Linked DNA regions of Rattus norvegicus. The protein of the gene in region 1 purifies or fractionates together with the protein of each later gene. This does not show direct contact. Links are inferred from orthologs where the notes say so. Each region holds a gene or a part of one and is shown in the gene's direction. Other genes may lie near its edges. The genes, in order: Foxj1, Cdk20 and Fbxo11.

The links.
Region 2: the proteins of Foxj1 (region 1) and Cdk20 purify together in Homo sapiens (affinity purification with mass spectrometry; 3 studies listed by BioGRID and IntAct, counting the BioPlex papers as one, with this or other methods). This does not show direct contact. The link is inferred for Rattus norvegicus from reciprocal best matches to the Homo sapiens genes FOXJ1 and CDK20.
Region 3: the proteins of Foxj1 (region 1) and Fbxo11 purify together in Homo sapiens (affinity purification with mass spectrometry; 3 studies listed by BioGRID and IntAct, counting the BioPlex papers as one, with this or other methods). This does not show direct contact. The link is inferred for Rattus norvegicus from reciprocal best matches to the Homo sapiens genes FOXJ1 and FBXO11.

The regions. Positions count from the first base shown.
Region 1 is NC_086028.1:102,065,241-102,072,287, reverse strand, and holds the start of Foxj1 (forkhead box protein J1), read left to right. Parts: upstream 1-3,046; 5' UTR 3,047-3,215; coding exon 3,216-3,713; intron 3,714-5,358; coding exon 5,359-6,126; 3' UTR 6,127-7,047. UniProt on the Homo sapiens protein: Transcription factor specifically required for the formation of motile cilia. Acts by activating transcription of genes that mediate assembly of motile cilia, such as CFAP157.
Region 2 is NC_086035.1:704,732-711,757, reverse strand, and holds the end of Cdk20 (cyclin-dependent kinase 20), read left to right. Parts: intron 1-1,189; coding exon 1,190-1,378; intron 1,379-1,549; coding exon 1,550-1,671; intron 1,672-1,818; coding exon 1,819-1,881; intron 1,882-2,432; exon of another isoform or gene 2,433-2,446; coding exon 2,447-2,570; intron 2,571-2,908; coding exon 2,909-3,064; intron 3,065-3,829; coding exon 3,830-4,027; 3' UTR 4,028-4,895; downstream 4,896-7,026. UniProt on the Homo sapiens protein: Required for high-level Shh responses in the developing neural tube.
Region 3 is NC_086024.1:12,289,073-12,296,141, forward strand, and holds the start of Fbxo11 (F-box only protein 11), read left to right. Parts: upstream 1-2,869; 5' UTR 2,870-2,870; coding exon of another isoform or gene 2,871-2,887; coding exon 2,888-2,995; intron 2,996-3,099; coding exon 3,100-3,181; intron 3,182-4,198; coding exon 4,199-4,343; intron 4,344-6,070; coding exon 6,071-6,200; intron 6,201-7,069. UniProt on the Homo sapiens protein: Substrate recognition component of a SCF (SKP1-CUL1-F-box protein) E3 ubiquitin-protein ligase complex which mediates the ubiquitination and subsequent proteasomal degradation of target proteins, such as DTL/CDT2, BCL6, SNAI1 and PRDM1/BLIMP1.

The DNA.
Region 1 (7,047 bases):
GCCATCCAGTCAGCACTCAAAGCCACAGCCGCAAACTGGCAGGAAATTGTTGGGTGTCACACCTTTCTCAGTTCAGTGGGTTTTACATGGCTCTAAAGGAGATAGATGCCTGTCCACTGGTCTTTTGGGACAGGGAATTAGTTGTTCAGGGGAACATGAGATGTTTGGGAATCAAGATTAGTGACAGGTACCTAGGGTGAGATACCAGGAGCTTTAGACTTGGCTAGTGTGGTCCTGGAAAGGCTTTCCCCCAAACGCCTGTGCCCAGGACCCTGAGGGGAGATGGGGTTGGAGAGCACGGTCTCAAACCTGCTATGTAGCTGAGGATGACCTTGAACTTCTGATTTCCCTGCCTGGATTGCCCAAGCATTAGAATTCCAAGCCTGCACCACTATACAGCTCTCCTTTATGTGGCAATCACACTGCTAGGGGGAAATCTGCTGTGCTGCCCAAGTGTGATAGGCTGAGCTTGAGATCCCATCGCCCGTTCAAAGGCTACATCCTATTTTTTACTTGCCCAACATTCCAGTAGCCCCTATCACACTTAAGACTCACACCAGTGTACGCTGAGCAATACCTACATTTCCTCAAAGCCGGGAGCAGAAGCAACGGGGAAGTTCCCTTAGCCTGGGATGGTGGCACATAGAGCTGCCTCCTCCCCTCGAGGGCAGTAGGAAGGCGGTATTCAGTGTGTGGTGTGACCCGGGAGGAGTGGTGGAAGAAGCTGAGATGAAGAAGACGCAGGTAAACAGTGGCCAGGGACCCTCAAAAAAGCCATTATAATCAGCCCTTCCCTCTGCCACACAAGTGTTCCGCCCGAATTCATTCCATAATCCCGGCACCCGGGTTAGAGTACCCTTTGCTCTGCCTTGCACAGCTCTGCCCCCTCACTCTGTCCTTTTACTTCTTGGCGAGCAGAAATAGCCCATTCTCGGGGTGGATCCCCATCAGCTGACACACTCTACCCAGTCCATTTGGAAACAGTTCCTTTGTCAGGGTCCAAGCGAAAGGGCAAGCACGTTCTCTTGGTGCCTTTGGCTCCTCACCACACCACACCTTTCTATACGTGGTACTGTAGTGATCTCAGTCTCCTCAAGGAGCCTTTTGCTTTACCTAATTTCATCCCACCAGAGTTTTTACCTGCTGTGGCATCTGCCGGGCACAAACCTGAACACTAAGCCATCTCACTGGGGAGCTAGTCCTGTCCACCTGGTGTTGGCTGCTGGTTGCTCACTTTGTTTTAGGGCCTGCACACCTGGGGTGTGTGTGTGTGTGTGTGTGTGTGTGTGTGTGTGCCATCTGTGTACCCCTCACACTCCCTGGAGTACACTTGTGGGCACATTACAGTGGGGACATCAAGATGCAATATTTATGGATTGCTGCATGATTCTTAAAATTAAATAAAACTGTTTACAGGGGCAGGGGAGCCGTTAACTACAAAGTGAATTCGTGTGTGAACGTTTCTGTTAGTGGCTCACACCCAGCTCCATTCCTGACTAAGCCCTACCTACTTCTGCATCAGGCTTAAACCGGATCACTTCCAATCCTGCAGCTCGTCAATAATTCAAGAGCCCCAAAGCTGATGGCAGTAAGGGAAGCGAGGCCCAGAGGCCCTTATATTTATTAGTTCCTGTCCCTTAACCAGTTACTGGCTAAATCAGTGAACAAATGGCCTCTTTGAGAGGATCTTGCAGGCCCGTGGCTTTTCTGCTTTTACCCACTGGCTGCTTCCTAGGCTGTCTGGAAGGAGAGGCACCTTCGCAGATGCCCCTGGAATGCCAGCTTCCAGGAACTTGAGCAGGGTGAGTGGGTGAGCTGCTTACCGGGAGACGCTGGGTTACCCTACCCGCCTCGATGTGTCTGCGAGCTGTGTGGCCATTTCTGCGGATTATAAGCGACAGGTGGCATCAGAGAGTCAGACTTGCCTGTGGGCACCAGAGAAGACACTCAGGGACCAGAGAAAGGCCCCAGAAATCACACAAAGACCACTGGAAGCCCGGTGAGGGGAAAGACTCCAAGGGCACGCTTCCCCGAGACCTGGTCTGCAGAATCCGAGGGTGGGTCCCCTCAGCGGTCAAACCGTAGGCGTGGGGGAGGGGTTCCCGGGGCCTCGAGCGGGAGCCGAGCGCCCGCCGTGATACCCAGCGCGGGGCCCACGGGCGGGAATGCACAGGGTCAGATCTCGGTGGCGGGTAGGGGGCTGGGTGGCGCGGGAGAGGGCGGCAGAACCAGAGAGTTCCAGAGAGTTGCCGCCAGAGGAGCTGCAAGGGCCCGCGGTCTCCTTGGAGACGTGTTGACCAATGACAGCAGCGGAAGCTGTTTATGGGGGCGGGGCGTCGCCATGGCAGCAGGAGAAGCCTTCGGAGCGTCTACTTAATGCCGGTCCCCGGGCCGTCGGCGCTCAGAGAAGCGCCGTCGGGCGAGGGGGGGGGGGCGCGACGAGGGGCGCCAGCAGAGCCCTCGAGCTGGGGACAGAGAGCCGCGGGAGGTGGGAGGAACTTCTTCCAGAACCTTCCTCTAGCCGGCTGCGCTCTGAGCCAGGTAAGGGACTAGGAGGGCTGTGGACCACGGGATGGGAGGGCGCCGGGACCTGCTGACTATCCAGTCCATCGCTCGCCCACGGAAGTAGTGGGGCCAGTAAATGAGATCTGAGGAGTTCGGGAGATCGCTTCCTGCCCCTCCATAACTCGGTCCTGTGACCTTCCTTTCCCGGGACCCTTCATCTAATACCTCTTTTCAAGGATCAGATGACCTACTCTGCCCCATCCGCGTCGTACTGTCCCCCTGGACTATTGGGGTGTGATCTTAGTTTCTCACTCTTTGGGAAAAAGAATTAGATCGGGCCTTCCTTCCCTCTTCCCTCTTTGTGATCAACGAACCCTCCAAGGGCAGATGGAGAGAGGTGGAGACGCGGGTTCAGACCAGGGTCCTGTGTTAACCTGACCTCTCCACAGGCTGCGTGGATGAATGTGAGGGCCTACCCCGTAAGGCGCCTCTTTCCTCTGGGGTTAGGGGAAGAGTGCTCAGTTCCGTGGTGCTCCCGCAGGCCCCACACTCGAGTTCGGAGGAGGCGACCCCCGGGGTCGCAGAATGGAAGTGAGTGTTCTGGAGACTGAGTAACTGGAGTCTGGGGCACCAGCGGGCTGGAGAGCGCGGCGGGCCACTCCGGCTCAGCCTGTGGATGTTGACCGCCCCTTCGAAGAGTCCCCGCAGACATGGCGGAGAGCTGGCTGCGCCTCTGCGGAGCGGGGCCCGGGGAGGAGGCCGGGCCGGAAGGTGGCATGGAGGAGCCGGACGCCCTGGATGACAGCCTGACCAGCTTGCAATGGCTGCAGGAATTCTCCATTCTCAACGCCAAGGCCCCCACTCTTCCCCCGGGAGGCACCGACCCCCATGGCTACCACCAAGTACCGGGTTTGGTGGCGCCCGGGTCACCGCTGGCGGCAGACCCTGCCTGCCTTGGGCAGCCACACACACCCGGCAAGCCCACATCGTCGTGCACATCTCGAAGCGCGCCCCCAGGGCTGCAGGCCCCGCCCCCTGACGACGTGGACTATGCCACCAACCCACATGTGAAGCCGCCCTACTCGTATGCCACTCTCATCTGCATGGCCATGCAAGCCAGCAAGGCCACCAAGATCACTCTGTCGGCCATCTACAAGTGGATCACGGACAACTTCTGCTACTTCCGCCATGCTGACCCCACCTGGCAGGTAGGGGAGAAGAGGTGCGGGTGGTGGCCACTCCCTCCTCACGCCCTCCTTCTGGCACTTAGCCAGACAGGCATACCAGATCTGTAAGGCCAAAGAGGCACCTGGCTGTGAGGTCAGGCCTCTCCTGAGGCCTGAACCCTGCCAGCTACTGGAAATGCTCTATTTGGCGCCAGGGCCCTGGAGGTACAGATGAAGTTCTAAGGAGAAGAGGGACCGGGAGGGCTCAGTGTAGCCTTTTGTGGGATGTAACACTAAAGCACATTCATGTCCCATGTCCCAAGAATTCCTAAACAGTGTTCCGCCCAAGGAATTTGTCCGAACTGGACTCTGAAATGGAAGCCAGGCGGCCGCCCTGCCAGGTTCTGCACCCCACCTTTTGCATTTGATACAGAGAGTAAGGCAGAGATGAGCCCTACGGCTACAAAGATCAACTGATCACCTGATCCAGGAGCAGGGGTCATGAGGTCATCCTAAAGCCACTGACCCAGCCTCCCACCTCAACTCCTCCCCAGTTTCCTGCCTCTACCCCCACCTCCTCAGCCAGCCTCCCCAGGGGGGCAATTACCTGAGCCTGGTGCTTTCCACAGGGGCGCTGCTGCAGCTGCAGTGGTGGCTTCGGGTTCTAAGTCTCCAGGACCTGGCACAGAGCAGCCAGCGGGCCAGAATGCCGTGTAAACACCCCAGCCCTGTTAGCCAAAGGGGCACCCACTCCCCGGCCTTGCTAGCGTAGTCTGGGCCCCCCGGACACCAAAGTGGTGTGAGCAGAACTAAGCTGCCAGGCGTGAATAGGGTAAGATAAGGCTCAGTAGACAGCACTTTGGCCATCCTCCGATATCAAGATCCACGTGCTAGAGATGAAGCCTGGGGTTGTGCACTCTTCCCTAAGGCGGCCAAGGGGCAGGGAGCAGGATCACAGTCCTGAGCCATTCCAAAAGGGCCCTAACCGTGGGTCAGAAGATCCCCATCTTCCCCTACTCAAGGCCTTTGCCAACTCGGGTCCCAGAAAGGAGCCTTCTGCACTTGGCTGGGTAATAATCAACTGAGGTTTGGGTGGGAGGAGAAGGTTGTGTGTGTGTTGGGGGGAGGAGGTTAGAGGGTTGAAGGCCTAGGCCAGCAGCTGGCTCAACAAACAAGGAGTCACTAAATCTCCCCCCAACACACACACACACACACACTCCTTGGTCACCCAGCCCCCTCCCTTAACCCACCCACTTCACAAACAGAGGGAACCAGCCAGGCAAAGGAGATGGCAGTCCAGGCCGTGGGGGAGCTAAGGGCTTTGGCCAGGACCTGCAAGCAACAGGGTAAGGGAGGGAGAGAGGGAGGGAGGATGACAGAGAGGGTGGTACAGAGAGCCACCCTGTGGCTCGGAGCTCGGATGACTGAGCAGGCAGATATCCCAGCAACAGGGAACAAAAGCCCCCTCCCTGTCCCCCTCCCTCCCCAGCACTCTGGGCTCCTCATACCCTGTGGCTGGTGTCCCAGAGTCCCAGAGCTACAGCTGCCTGGTCAGGGCATCGGGTTGATCCGCCCCTCCCCCCCCCCACCCCGTCTGCAGGGAGGATGCAGGAGGAGCACCCGGTGCCACTTCACTGCCGGTCCCCTGACCCCGATGCCTTTTCTCTTGTTCTCTCGCTGTACCCAGAATTCCATCCGCCACAACCTGTCCTTGAACAAGTGCTTCATCAAAGTGCCTCGGGAGAAGGATGAGCCCGGCAAGGGGGGCTTCTGGCGCATCGACCCCCAGTATGCAGAACGCCTGCTCAGTGGGGCCTTCAAGAAGCGGAGGCTGCCCCCGGTCCACATCCACCCTGCCTTTGCCCGGCAGGCCGCCCAGGAACCCAGCACTGCCCCCTGGGGTGGGCCTCTGACCGTGAACAGGGAGGCCCAGCAGCTACTGCAGGAGTTTGAGGAGGCCACAGGGGAGGGAGGCTGGGGCACAGGAGAGGGAAGGCTGGGGCATAAGCGAAAGCAGCCGCTGCCCAAGAGGGTGGCCAAGGTCCTGCGGCCTCCCAGCACCTTGCTGCTGACCCAGGAGGAGCAGGGTGAGCTGGAACCCCTCAAAGGTAACTTTGACTGGGAGGCCATCTTCGAGGCTGGCGCACTGGGTGAGGAGCTGAGCTCACTGGAGGGTCTGGAACTAAGCCCCCCGCTGAGCCCCAGCTCACACGGAGAGGTGGATCTCACAGTCCATGGCCGCCACATCAACTGTCCTGCTACCTGGGGCCCTCCAGTGGAGCAGGCTACTGACAGCCTGGACTTTGATGAGACCTTCCTGGCCACGTCCTTCCTCCAGCATCCCTGGGACGAGAGTAGTAGTGGTTGCCTGCCCCCAGAACCCCTCTTTGAAGCAGGGGATGCCACCCTGGCCGCTGACCTGCAGGACTGGGCCAGTGTGGGAGCCTTCTTATAAAAGGTCAGGCCCCACCCCATCTCCGGACAGTGCTCAAGTCAGGGCCCAGAACTGCCTCCCAAGACAGGCCCTTTGGACATCCCAGCACCCAGGCAGGGACTGGGCCAGGTCGCTGGAGGGCCACACTGCTGCCAGCTGGGGATGTCCTCATATCCAAGCCCAGAAGAACTGGGAACTGGGGACTGCCTCCCCCTCATCAGCAACCCCCATACACACAGTGTTTCATCCACCCGTGTTCCCCCAAGCCCAAGAATTGGCAAAAGCACCCCTGCCCCTGCCTGCCCCCCTGTACTCCGAGAGCCGAAGCCCGGAGGGGTCCTACCTACCGGGCCTGGGAGGAACTGAACAGGGCCCTCACCAAAGCTTCACCTCACCCACTTCTGCTGCTTCTCCAGGTCCCTACCCAGAGAAAGTTCCCAGGTACAACAAATGGCTCGTTAGAGGATAACAAATTAACCCCCAGGAGGCCCCTCCCGGCAGAGTTCTCTCAGGGGCCCTGGCAGCCTTGGCCAGGGACAGCGAGGGCAGGGGACTGGGGAAGGGAACAGAAAGAGGAGGCAGAAACCAGGTGGGGGCAGCAAGGTGGGGTGAGATGGTCTCTAAGCCTTCTGGGGCCTTCTCCTGGCCCGACGCCTGTGAAGGGAGGCTGCAAGCTTTTGAGTCTGACTTGAGGGTGAGAGCAACAGGAAGTTGGGGCTTGGGGTGGTTGGGGCAGGGGCAGCCAAGCTGCTAGGTGGGGGGGGAGAGAGATTAATATAGCGACTGTAGTTATAGCTAAGACTTAACTGGGGAAGGGGTGCCTGACTTACTGGAAACACTGGGACCAGGAAGGGGACAAACCCTAGGCCCCTGTCTGCACTGGGGGGGACCAGGTCTTGCTCCACCTTGACCCCTGGGGCTGGAGCCTGTATCTACCCTCCA
Region 2 (7,026 bases), on another chromosome or scaffold:
CCCACCTGTGAGTCCAGGGCTTATAAGGTACTGGACAAGGGATCCCTGGAGCAAGCTGGCTAGTCAGATCAGTGTGTTGGTAAGGCCATGAATTCTATAGAGAGACATTACCTCAACATGTAATGTAGAGAACAGTTAAAGAGAAGACTTCTGACTTCAGCCATGGGTCTCCACATGCTCATGCACACATGTGAACACACAAATGCATGCAAACACACGGATGCATGTAAAAAATATGGAGTAGATTTGTCCCCAGTCTTTATATCTTCTTCACTAACTACCACTTCTTAGGCATCCCTTCGGGGGCTAGCATCCATATAGATTGCAGGAGCACAGGACAGAACAGGCATGTTCATCCTCTAAAGGATGTACTCTCCAGCTGGACATTGTGGTTTACACCTGTAATCCTGGTATTTAGGGAGTGGGGGCAGGAGGATGCAGAGTATTAGATCATCTTCTACATAGTGAGTTCAAGTCCCCACTGCTTCAAAAAAGACACTTATTTCTTGTCCCTCTAGCGATCTCTGTTAGCCCTTGGGTCTTGGACGTTCTGCTTTCCCTGCTCAGACCTCCTCCCCAGGCCTACCCCTGACCAAACCCCTTCTAAATAAAGTGTACACTCTTCCTTTGCTCTCTCACAGTCCCACCGCCCTCTGTTCCTAGTCCTTATATGTTCCTAAACATATTCTTTGTGGGCCATTTATTCCCTGTTTTCTAAGGTCCTCAGAGCCCTTGCATCCTAGCTCACTACCCGGTGCAGCCTGGGCCTTAAGACACCGGTAGCTACTGTGTGTGATGTGCCTACATTGTTTCAACACCAGGGGAGATGCGATTTCTGGTTATGTCTCCAGGTTGCCGGTTCCTGGTCCTAGAGATAATGAGTGACAGTTGGTACTTGGGCGTCCCTCTCCAGTTGATCTGCATGCGGGTAGGATGGGTTGAGCAGTGGGGTGCTTGCTGCTGCCCACCAAGTCACCTGATCTTTTTTCCTTATTAGCTGGAGAGTAGGGACCATCTTATCGCTGGATAGCAGAGCACTATCATAGTGGCCTGAGCTCTCTGGTTGTTTCTGTCTGGCCTGGTCTTCTGTCAGAGCCTGGGTTATTGGCGCTGTTGGTAGTGGGGTGGGAGCCAAGGAGGTCTGGAGGCCAGTTTAGATTCTAGAGGCTTATGGGATGTCTTTCCTCAGGTGGTACAGCTGAAGGCTGTGTTCCCACATGGTGCAGGCTTTGTGCTGGCTTTCGAGTTTATGCTGTCGGACCTGGCGGAGGTGGTGCGCCATGCCCAGAGGCCACTAGCCCCAGCACAGGTTAAGAGCTACCTGCAGATGCTGCTCAAAGGTGTTGCATTTTGCCATGCCAACAACATCGTGCATCGGGTTGGTACCAGTATGGGTTTTGTTGGGCCGGGGTGAGCTAGTCCTTGAAGAGGGTTCAGTCAGAGGGTCTTGAGATAGGGCTTTAAAGAGATGGGGGCCTGGCTGCCTATCTCCCTGTCCCCAAGCCCTGTCTAGGTACAGGGGGACTGATGCTCCTTTTTCTATGCACAGGACCTGAAGCCTGCCAACCTGCTCATCAGTGCCTCAGGCCAGCTCAAGATAGCTGACTTTGGACTGGCCCGGGTCTTCTCTCCAGATGGTGGTCGCCTCTACACACATCAGGTGGCCACCAGGTAGTGGAGCCATATCCCTGCCAGTCTTCTCACTGGGGAAGAGATACTTCTGCGCCTTTTGTTTGTTCCGGCGTGGGCTGTGAGGCTGGGATGAACTTTTTATCAGACCAACAATCCAGCTGTGGTCTCAAACCCTTTTCCCCACAGGTGGTACCGAGCTCCTGAGCTCCTGTACGGTGCTCGGCAGTATGACCAGGGTGTTGACCTATGGTGAGATACTTGGGGCAGACGAGGGTAATGTGGGCTGTGGGGATGTCCTCTCTGGTCAGAGCAGTCTGAGCATCGTGGGATCTGTGTTCTTCACCCTGATGCTTTTGAGTTGGTGTGGGGAGAGTTGGGAGAGTAGTCTCAGGTGAGAGGCTTCTGGGAATGGGGGTAAGGTAGTCTGAGGTACAAGGCGTGTAGTATGTTTTGGCATCTGACTCGAGGATTCTATAGCTGTGAGCTAGAGTGAAGCTTGGGTCCCTGAGTATGAGAGTTCAGCATTTCGGGAGAGTAGGGAGATGGTTTGTGGTGTCCAGAGGTCTGAGATTTGGGTTATTTTTCATATATGCCCAGCCCCCAAATCAAGGAGGAGCTGGGTGTCCCGGACATGAGGCTCTAAGGGTCTTGGAGCTGAAGGGGATACTCTGCTCTAGATGTCTGTGGAGGGGTAATACATGGCTGTACCTGAGACCTCTGGACCCTGACCCTGACCCGTGAGGAGTTAAAGCTTGTGTGGGTAGCTTGATTGCCCACATGTGACATCTCCAGCCGCTTAGATCTGTATCCACAGGGCTGTAGGCTGTATTATGGGAGAGCTGTTGAATGGATCCCCCCTATTCCCGGGAGAAAACGACATTGAACAACTGTGCTGTGTGCTTCGAATCCTGGGTACCCCGAGTCCTCGAGTCTGGCCGGTTAGTAGCAACCATTGCTGGGGAGGGGCCAGGTTTGCTCCATTCCCCAGTAGGAAGTGACTTATCCCTATGTAGGTGTCTTGGGCCCCACTCTCCCTTGACTAGTGAAGATCAATGTCTTGGCCTTGCAGGAGGGACAGGTTTTATCTGGGGTAGCATTTCAGTAAGCTGGGCAAGGAGCAGGCCTCAGAGAGCGGGAGGAGCTGAAGGAGAGCATGCGTGGGTGGTGATGGACTCTGGGCTGAATGAAGAACTGAATACCTGATCCAGGTGGGAGAGCCGAATCAGGAGTGGTGGGTGGGGCTGTTCTCATTGCTTTTTTTCTCCTCTGGGCTCAGGAGATCACAGAGCTGCCTGACTACAACAAGATCTCCTTCAAGGAGCAGGCACCAGTGCCCCTGGAGGAGGTGCTGCCTGATGCCTCTCACCAGGCCCTGGACCTGCTGGGTCAGTTCCTCCTTTACCCTCCACGACAGCGTATTGCAGCCTCCCAGGTAGGGTTAAAGGTTATTGTTCCCAATACTCTGCTCCGTAGCCCTGGGACCCTGCCAAGTCAGTGACTCTTAGAAGCCGAGTAGGGTAGAAACCTTGGAGATGGGGTTTTGATGGGGTGCTCTCCAGGAAGCTTCAAGAGAGTAGGAGTCAGTACCCCTGTTCTCTGTCCAGCCCTCTCCCTTGTCATTGGTTCGTTCCTGCAGTTGCAGGTGTGAGTGTCGTCTCTTTCTCACCCTGACCGCTCTTGCTGTGTTCCTATTCCTGTTTGCTCCTCTCAAGCCCTAGGCTTTCCTTAGGGCTTGTGCTCCTGTGTCCCAGCTCTTCAGTTTGCAGCATCTCTCTAGCCTTCTTCAGCCTTTCTCCCCAGCTTTGTCCTGGGAGACGTGAACTAGTGTCTGTCCACTGCAGATAGGACACTGATAACAAATCTGACCTGAGCTGAGCTTTAGTTTCAGGTGCTTCCTGGGACTTGTGAGTTTTCAAGGAGCCTCCTGTTCAGAGGGAATGTTTCAACTGGGTGGGAATAGCTACACGACACGCTTTCTCTATTGCTGGGGACATACTGTGCATTTTGCCCCTTCTTTGGTTTATGTCCCCCACCCCTTCCTCTGTTGGCAAGACTCTTTTAGCTCACTGCCATTTCCTAGCTGTTGGGCCAGTGCTCCAGACATAGGCACACAGGCAAGTTTTGCTGAGTCAGTTGAATAATCCTGGGGACAGATAGTGACTGGATTTCTTCTATACCCCTTATTTGCTACCCGCAGGCCCTTCTGCATCAGTATTTCTTCACAGCTCCTCTGCCTGCCCATCCGTCTGAGCTGCCAATTCCTCAGCGCCCAGGGGGACCCACACCCAAGGCTCATCCAGGGCCCCCCCATGTCCATGACTTCCATGTGGATCGTCCTCTTGAGGAGTCACTGTTGAATCCAGAACTGATCCGGCCCTTCATCCCAGAGGGCTGAGATGCTGGTCCAGTCCTTCCTGCTCAACCCAGGTGCACCGAGACAGCTACTCTTCTGCCTCATCCTGATTGGCCCCCATGGCCTCCCCATGGCTATATGTACCACACCCGGTTCTGCTTCTTAGCGTGCTTGAGGGCTGGGCTCTGACAGGCAGAACCATGAAGATGTTCACCGCAGCAGAGAAAGAGACTCACAGCCCCCAGAAACTGCCATCTGTGTTCTTCTCTGGGGCCATCTCTCAGTGGTGCTACCTGGCCTTAGAGAGATTCTCAGGGTCTGTCTCCTCTTCAAGGACATTGATACTACAGCACCACCTCGGGGAAGCACAGAGAATAAGCTGTCTTCATATGGGGACACAGCTGGGAAGTCAGACATGCTTTGGCTTTGGCTTCACTGGGTCAGACTTTGAGATTCATATAAAAGCCCTGGGTGTTTCTGCCTGTATTTGCACCTTGTCTGTTGTTGTTAGGGAAAGGGCCTTAATTCGTAGGGGTCAGGTACCCAGATGGTGCCTCTAGTAAGGGCCATTTGGGTTCTGAGACTTCCTGTGCTCTTCATGGGACTTGAGAGCTCACATGGGAGTGAGGTCCAGAAGTTGAGGCCCAGCAATGGGCAGTGCAGTTCCCAAAGCACACTTTCCACATGTTGGGTGTTAGTCAGTGAGCCAGAGCCTGCTGTGCAGATTCGAAGCAGGCTTTCCTGGAATTCACTCGGTAAGTAGATTCCAGTGTGACTCAGCCAGCTTGATTTTTATTTCATAGGAATATATTAAGATGAGTCTAAAAGGCGGTTCTCTACTTCCCAGTGCTGCAACCCCGTAATACAGTTCTCCCCCCAACAATAAAATTATTTTTGTCATGCTTTGTAATTTTGTTACTGTCATGAATCATAGTGTAAATCTATGTGACATCAAGGGGGTTGAGACCCACAGCATGAGAACCACTGGTCTAGATCCCGTTATTTCGAGGAGTAAGAGGAGAGGGCAGAGAGAAGATGATGAAAGGGCTATTGGCTATTCAGACTTATGCAAGGTTATATAACAGCTAAGACAGGATACTGTTTCAGGGATGGATTAGATAGGATCTTAACTACCATTATTCAGACATGTGACAAAATATGCTAGTAGTTGTGATGTACACCTGTAATCCTAGCACTCGGGTCTGAGACAGGAGGGTTCCTAAGAGTGGAAGGTCATGCTAGGCTACTGTGTAAGTCCTGTCTCAAAAGAAAGTGTATGTGTATGTGTATGTGTGCATATATGTGCATGCATGCATATATGTGCATGCATGTATATAATATACACACAGGAGATATGTTATATTTTTCAAATGTTTGTTGTAGGCCTAACATGTATTGGTCACTCTGTGAGTCCTGGCAGCGCAGAGGTGACTAACAGGGCTGGCTCCTGGCCTCAATGCTTACAAGGAAGAGCACAGATGCTCTTTTCAGGAGTATGATGTCTCTGGTCACGTCTTTGCAGACTCTAGGACAGTTGAGCTCCATTAGTTTCTTGTAGCTCTTTATGTATGCACAGGTGGTAGCTTGTGTCTGGACAGACTGATAAAAAGGTAGTGCACTTGGTGATTTATAAACCAATGCCTTCAGTGATCTCTGCAAAACCTTTTTTAAAAACTCTGATAACCGGGCACACAGGAAACAGTGAAAGGAACAGAAAACATCTTTGGGTTTCCAGATGGTGGACTCAGCAGAGACAGTGCAGCTACCACACTTGGAACTTTGTAAACTAGTAAGGTAGAATAGAGCAGGCACCGTTGAAAACCTTGTAACACATAAAACAAAGCACAGACACACAGCACACAGGAGGATGGTTTTACACCACCCCAACCCCAGTTTGCCTTGTTCTTTTCAAGATGAGAAGATAAGGTTGGCTTTGAACTCCCTCTGTGGCTGAGATGACCTTGATATCTTGTCTCCATCTTTCAAATGCTGTATTACCAGCCTGTATCACCACCCTCATATCATAGTAGTAATTTAAATGCTAATTACTAGTAATTTAAATCTCTAGCTGGAACAAAGGTGGTTACTTATATTAGAAGGAAGTGAAATAGGTATTTTCTTTCATGGCTAAATTTTTTATTTTCATTCTTCCCCCCCCCCCCCCATCTTTATTAAATTGGGTATTTCTTATTTACATTTCAAATGTTATTCCCTTTCCCGGTTTCCGGGCAAACATCCCCCTAACCCCACCCTCTCCCCTTCTCTATGGGTGTTCCCTTCCCCATCCTTCCCCATTACCACCCTCCCCCCAACAATCACGTTCACTGGGGGTTCAGTCTTGGCAGGACCCAGGGCTTCCCCTTCCACTGGTGCTCTTACTAGGGTATTCATTGCTACCTACGAGGTTGGAGTCCAGGGTCAGTCCACGTATAGTCTTTAGGTAGTGGCTTAGTCCCTGGAAGCTCTGGTTGGTTGGCATTGTTGTACATATGGGGTCTCGAGCTCCTTCAGCTCTTTCAGTCCTTTCTCTGATTCCTTCAATGGGGGCCCGTTCTCAGTTCAGTGGTTTGCTGCTGGCATTCGCCTATGTATTTGCTGTATTCTGGCTGTGTCTCTCAGGAGACATCTACATCCGATTCCTGTCAACCTGCACTTCTTTGCTTCATCCATCTTATCTAGTTTGGTGACTGTATATGTATGGGCCACATGTGGGGCAGGCTCTGAATGGGTGTTCCTTCTGCCTCTGTTCTAAACTTTGCCTCCCTATCTCCTCCTAAGTGTATTCTTGTTTCCTTTTTAAAGAAGGAGTGAAGCATCCACATTTTGGTCATCCTTCTTGAGTTTCATTTGTTCTGTGCATCTAGGGTAATTCGAGCATTTGGGCTAATATCCACTTATCAATGAGTGCATACCATGTATGTTTTTCTGTGATTGGGTTACCTCACTCAGGATGATATTTTCCAGTTCCATTCATTTGCCTATGAATTTTATAAAGTCATTGTTTTTGATAGCTGAGTAATATTCCATTGTGTAGATGTACC
Region 3 (7,069 bases), on another chromosome or scaffold:
CTCAGCTCCTCCTATATCATGCCTGCCTGGGCACTGCCGTGCTCCCACCTTGATGATAATGGACTGAACCTATGAGCCAGCCCCAATTAACTGTTGTCTTTTTAAGAGTTGGTCGTGGTGGGGTTGGGGGGTGCTGGGTTAGGGTTTTAGCTCAGTGGCAGAGTGCTTGCTTAGCAAGCGCAAGGGCCTGGGTTCGGTCCTCAGCCCCACCCCCCCACCCCCCAAAAAAGAGTTGGTCATGGGGCTGGAGAGATGACTCAGACACTAAGAGCACTGTCTGCTCATCCAGAGGTCATGAGCTCAATTCCCAGCAACCACATGGTGGCTCACAACCATCTGTAATGGGATCTGGTGCCCTCTTCTGGCCTGCACAAGTAACATGCAGGCACAACGCTGTATACATAATAAATAAATCTTAAAAAAAAAAAAAAGAGTTGGTCATGATGTCTGTTCACAGCAGTAAATCCTCAAGACAAAGAGCTGCTTCAAATTGATTCCCTTCACTATGGAGAGTGTGTGTGTCCCCTAAACAAGTTTCATTTATATATATTGGTTTTTATCTGTATGATTTGTATAGTTTTTATTTGTATGATTGATTGTCTTGTCTGTGTTTTGCAGTATGGGCCTTGTACATATAGGCACTGTTACTAAGCTGTAATTCTCAACCCCGATTTGTTTACTAACCTGTGTATAAGAAGTAGTTCTTCATCACATTGTACAGAATTACTTGCCACAAAACAGTCCTTGTGTTGGTTGACAGTGATGATTTTGGTGATTGTTCTGTAGTAGGTCAGCTACAGCAATGACAATCTTGGTCTGTACTACTGATTTCTACATAGGTGCAGGATCAGTTGTCAGAAATGGGACAACTGAGAGGCAGTTTGCCACCCAGCCTTCCAGAGAGCAGCGGAACAACCTGTCTCCTTTTGCTCCCTTTGTGTGTGTGTGTGTGTGTGTGTGTGTTTTCCTGGTTTTTTGAGACAGGGTTTCTCTGTGTAGCCCTGGCTGTCCTGGAACTTGCTCCATAGACCAGGCTGGCCTGGAACTCCCAGAGATTCGATGCCTCAACCTCCCAAGTGTGGGGACTAAAGGCATGGACCACAAACTCCTGGCATTCTTTCCTCTTCTTGGTAACACTCGTGTGTAAAGAATCTTTTGCATCTTGCATAATATGGTAGATAAAAATTATCACACTGTAGTTTTTATTTGTATTTCTTTAGTTTGGAACTATCTTTCCACATCTAATGTACCACCACAACTAGGCTATTGGTCATGTATTGATTTGTGAACAGATTGCCCCTTTTTAATGTATTACAGTCACTTTTTTTCCTAACCATCTTTTTCTTTTGTCTGTTGGTGTTTATGATTCAAGAATTTATACTATCGAAATTTTCAAGATTTTTAAAATTCAAACTGCAGAGGCCCCCAGCTCTTTAAAAGCTAACATGCCTTTTTACTCCCTAGTCTATGAGTGCATGCCCCTACAAACTAAAGAGCCGTGAAGTTAACACTAATACACCCTGTGCTCTACTCTTGGTGTCCAGATTTCATGTACTGGGGTGGCTGAAGGCGGGAGTGTTCTCACGGGAGCCACAGGTTGTGTGTAGTCTTGCTCATCTCGTCAAGTCCTGTTACAGAACAGCTGTGCTCTCCAGCTTTGCTATTCTTCATAATGGATTCATTGCTCTCCATCTTTGTCAGGAATTTCGTGGAAATTCTGTTGTGCTGTCTGTCGGGTGGTGCAGTTTTAGTCTGTCATTATTGATGTGAACGATGAGCTCCTATCGGGGTTGGCATTTATTGTTCTCCTAATCTGTGGGCAGATAACAATTGCCTGACTTCCAGTGGGTTACAGTTTGCCAGTTTGTGGCTTGTTATTTGATGCACTAGCTTAGTTTTGCCTTTTTAAGCTCACTTCCATCCATCCATCCCTCTCTACCTACCTACCTATCATCCACTATCTACCTACCTACCCACCTACCTACCGATCGATTGATCGATTGATCAATTAATCACACCTTTTTTTTTTCTGCCCCCAAGATATTCTAGGCTCATTTTGTACTTTCCTGCCCTACTACCCTGGGAACCACCATTTCTCCAACAAGTATGAAACTTTCCTTTTATAGAAAATGTTATTCAGAAAGCAAGATCCGACTACTAGCCATGCTCAACTATTTTGGGAAGCCTTGTGTTAAATGTGGGGAGAGCTTCTGCTGATGAGCACCCGTTCTGCACATCTCAATGTTCACACCTGTGTTCCTTCTATGGCTGGGACTTCACACTTTATGCCTCTAAATCCAGGCTCAACAGCAAAGGTTTTACTGGTGCTTTTTTTTTTTTTTTTTAATTTACAGCTGTTTTCTTGAACAGAAATCCAGGTTCCATTGCCCTGTGTACTTTCTGACTCATTTTACTCTGTTGTGTACCTGTCTCTGCTCTCACCTCAGCTGTGTGAGGCTCTTTCTGCTCTGCCCGAGGCCACTCCCTTTCCCTCCCTGCTGTGAATCTCTTTCATGCTCTAAATCTCTAGCACCATCTGGCAGGCCACCCTCTACCCGTTCACTTTTCCCTGACTGCTGTCTGGTACACAGAACTGAGCCGTCCCTCTCCCTCCACTTGGCCTTGCAGTGGGACAGCCTGCCTGCTCAGCTTGAGCTGCTCTGACCCGCTCTTCTCGTCAACACCTCTTCACCTCTTCCCACACCCCCTTTCTTTTCTTAAACTTTTTTCCAAGCTCTACAAGATATGGAATGTCTGTCAGATAGTCATCCGGTTGGCTGGAATTCCGTACAAAATTATGTTGTTCCTTCTCTTGCTGAATTTGAGATTTTAGTAAAAAGATGGATACCGTTTTCTTTCATCTTTGACAGATGATGTTCCTGCAGATATGGTTGCAGAAGAATCAGGTCCTGGTGCACAAAACAGTCCATACCAGCTTCGTAGAAAAACTCTTTTGCCAAAAAGAACAGCGTGTCCTACAAAGAACAGCATGGAGGTGACTTAATTGTAATTGTTTTTGTAAGGAAAGAATGGGTCAAAATTTGTGAGAATTATATACAGTGGGAATACTTGACTGACAGTTTCTTCTTGGTTTTGAAGGGCGCCTCTACTTCAACTACAGAAAACTTCGGCCATCGAGCGAAGCGGGCAAGAGTGTCTGGGAAGTCACAAGATCTGTCAGGTACTCCGAGAGGGAAGTAAAGTGAGACGCGTTTCAAAAGTTCATGTTTGAGCCTAGCATAGTAACACATGCCTTCAATCCTGGTATTCAGGAGGCAGAGGCAGGGGATTTCTGAGTTCAAGGTCATCCTGGTCTAGAGAGTATCGGGACAGATAGACAGGGCTTTATAGAGATGATGGTGATGATGATGGTGGCGGTAAGTGAAACTGAAAATTAAATATTATTTGAATATATTGAGTAGTTACTATTAAAAAATACATCAGAACCCTAATCCTTCCCTCTTTAACGTTTTTTAAAATGTATCTTTAATTTTAGTTATGTGTGTGTGTGCTTCTGTGAGGAGATTGTTGTACTTACCTAAATAGCTAGAAGGAGGGCATTCGATTTCCTGGAGCAGGATTTGCAGATGTGGTGAGCTTCAGGTTAGAGGTGCTGAGAACCAAAAAATGGGTCCTCTGCAAGACCAGTACAAACTTAAATGTTGAGCTATCTCTCCAGCCTGTCTTATTTTTATATAAAAGTTTTTTTTAATAGTGCTATGGTGTAGCCATAACACTAGCTAGCTACTTGGGAGGTAAAGGGCTGGGAGCTGGAAAATGAAGTTAAAGAGTAGTGAATTTAAGACCGACCTAGGAAGCTTCGAAAGACTGCCTAAACACAAAACAAACAAAAACAGCTAACACTGTGCATGCGTGTGTGCACATGCTTGTATGTACATATATGTAAGATAAAAGGGAAATACAGGACTGGAAGATGGCTCAGTGGTTAGGAACACTGCTCTTCCCGAGGTCCTGAGTTCAATTCCCAGCAACCACACGGTGGCTCACAACCATCTGTAATGAGATCTGATGCCCTCTTCTGCTGTGTCTGAAGACAGCTACAGTGTACTCATGTACACAAAATAAATAAAATCTTTTTTTTTTAAAAAGGAAATATATCAGTAAAGGCATATGCTGTTTGTTGGTGAGGAAGTCGTTGCTGGTAAATGACTTGTTATGTTCTGTTAATCTCTTTCAGCAGCACCCGCTGAACAGTATCTTCAGGAGAAGCTACCAGATGAAGTAGTTTTAAAAATATTCTCTTATTTGCTGGAACAAGATCTTTGTAGAGCTGCTTGTGTGTGTAAACGCTTCAGTGAACTTGCTAATGATCCAATTTTGTGGTGAGTGAAACCTACTCCTTGTTACCTTGAAGGATGCTGTGTGATGCCAAAACTGCCAGGGAAGGAAGTGGACGTGCGGGCTTCTAGTTATAACAAAGTAATTAAAAGAAAATTAAAATGCTTATAAATTCTGTTGCCTGGTTATCGTAAATGTGGAGAACTTGTTGATCCAAGAAATATTATAAATCAGGAATTATTTCTTTGTTTACAAGTTCATAACAAGCAAGTGATTTGGAAGGGAGTCTTTATGTATGGAGTCGGGTAGAGTACCGCAGACAGAATCTTCTACAGCACAGGGTGGCCGCAGAATGACTACGTAGCTGAGGCTGCCCTTACACTGCCCTCCTGTTTCAGCCTGGGATGCCATTGTATGTCACCACTCCCAACTCATTTTCTTTTTACATTTGGTTTTTGTTTTTATGAAGCAGCATTGGGTTTAACAAACACATCAGTATAGACTTAATGTGTCAGTGTAGAGATGCCCAGAAGTAGGATGTGCCAGGAGCATGGGTGTGACTTTACCAAAGAAGAGGCCGGTGATGCAAGGGTTAGTACAGGCTTCTCCAGGCAGTGCCGCCTCCTGTTTAAAAGCAGAGCTAGTTGGATATGGTAGCTCACACCTGGAATCATCCATCCCTAGCAGAGGGATGCAGAGTTTAAAGCCAGCTTGGCCTACAGAGAGAGTTGCAGGTCAGCCTGGGCTACAGAGTGAGACCACACACTGTGTGTGGTGAGAGTTGGTTTCTGGGCTGGAGAGGATGGTCACTGGTTAAGAACACTGTTCTCACAGTTTGTTCTCAGGACAACCAGTTGTAGGGTTCCAGTATCTTTTCAAGTCTCTGCAGGCACAGCACATATGTAGTGCATATAGATGCAGGCAAAACACACATACTTGGCTGGAGAGATGGCTCAGTGGTTAAGAGCACTGACTGCTCTTCTAGAGGTCCTGAGTTCAATTCCCAGCAACCACATGGTGGCTCACAACAATCTGTAATGGGATCTGATGCCTCTTCTGGTGTGTCTGAGGACAGCCACAGTGTACTCACATACATAAAATAAATTATAAAAAAACCACATACTTTTCTTTTTAACTTTTAAACTTTTTATTGTTTGTTTGAGGCAGGGTTTTTCTGTGTGTAGCCCAGGCTGTCCTGAAACTTCACTCTGTAGACGTAGTGGGCCTAGGGTCTGGATCTGCCTGCCTCTGCCTTCTGAGTGCTGGGATTAAAGACATGTGCCACCACTGCCCACCTTTTTAAAATTAGTCATTTTAAGAAATATTTCGACAGCTGGGTATAGTGCCACACACCTTTACTCCCAGTACTTGGGAGGCACAGGAAAGTGGTTGGATCCTTGTTATTTCAAGGCTAGCTTGGTCTACAGAATGAGTTCCAGGACAGCCAAGACTACATAATGAGATCCTGTCTGCAAGGGGAAAAAAAGAAAGTATTTTGTCTGCCTACTGGTACATGTCTGCTCCTAGCTACTCGGGAAGGTAAGGCAGGAGGCTCTCTGAGTCTAAGAGTTTAGAGCCAGCCTAGACAACAGAGAAGACCCTGCACCACCAGTACCATTGCAGGGACTGGTACATTAGTTAATTAATTTCTATATTTATTTAATTTGGCTATCCTTATTGAAATTTTGGTCATTCAGCTAACATATATTTAATATTTTATTAATCTAGAGGATATTTTATAAGGATATCTTTAATTTGTTTATCCCCTCAGGAAACGATTATATATGGAAGTATTTGAATATACCCGGCCTATGATGCATCCTGAACCTGGTAAATTCTACCAGATTAATCCAGAAGAATATGAACATCCAAATCCATGGAAAGAGAGTTTTCAACAGTTGGTATGAAATACAGAAAAATACAGACTTGTGTATTTGTAGATACATTTCTTTAAAAAAATAAAGTCATCTAGAGGGAGATGGCTCAGTGGTTAAGAGCATGCACTATTCTAAAGAACCTGAGTTTAGATCCCAGCACCCACAGGTAGCTCATAGATAACTTCCTGTTACTCCAGCTGCAGGGCATCCAGTGTCCTGTCTCTTCCGGCCTGCTTGGCCAGCTGCACTCGTACACAAACCCACACACGACGCCACATAATTCAAAGCTTTGTCAGGTAAACAAGTGCATGGAAGACTAGCTGTGGGCACAGCAGCACACACCTGCAATCCCAGCACACAGCACCCAGGCAGAAGATCACAGCCGAAGGCCAGCCTCTGTCACATGGACGACTGCTGCAAAGAAAAGAAAATGTAGGAAGCGTCAGTAGCGTGGATGGCCATGATTCCACTGGATCTGTTGAAATTTGTACATAAGTAAAAGGTCTTAGTAATTTAAAAATTCCACCCTTTTTCTTTTCTTTTTAAACAAGGTCTCACTGTGTAGTCCTGGCTGGCCTACAAAAGACCCACCCGTCTCTGCTGGGATTATAGACACACCATGCCCTTCATAGTTGAGCTTTCTTCTGTTTCTAGTCCGTCGGTGTGAGTGGTTCTCAGCTGGGGGTGATTTTGCTTTCTCAACTATCAGGGAACACTTTAACAGTCTTGAGATACTCTGTGTTTGTCAAAGCAGAAGAGGGCTCTTACCTCTAGTATTAAGTTTGTTAGAGGCCATAGATACTACTGAACCCCACCACTACATGGTTCCTGGGGCTGCTCCCCATGTCAAAGAATTATGTAGCCCAAACTAATGGTAGTGGTAAAATGGAAAG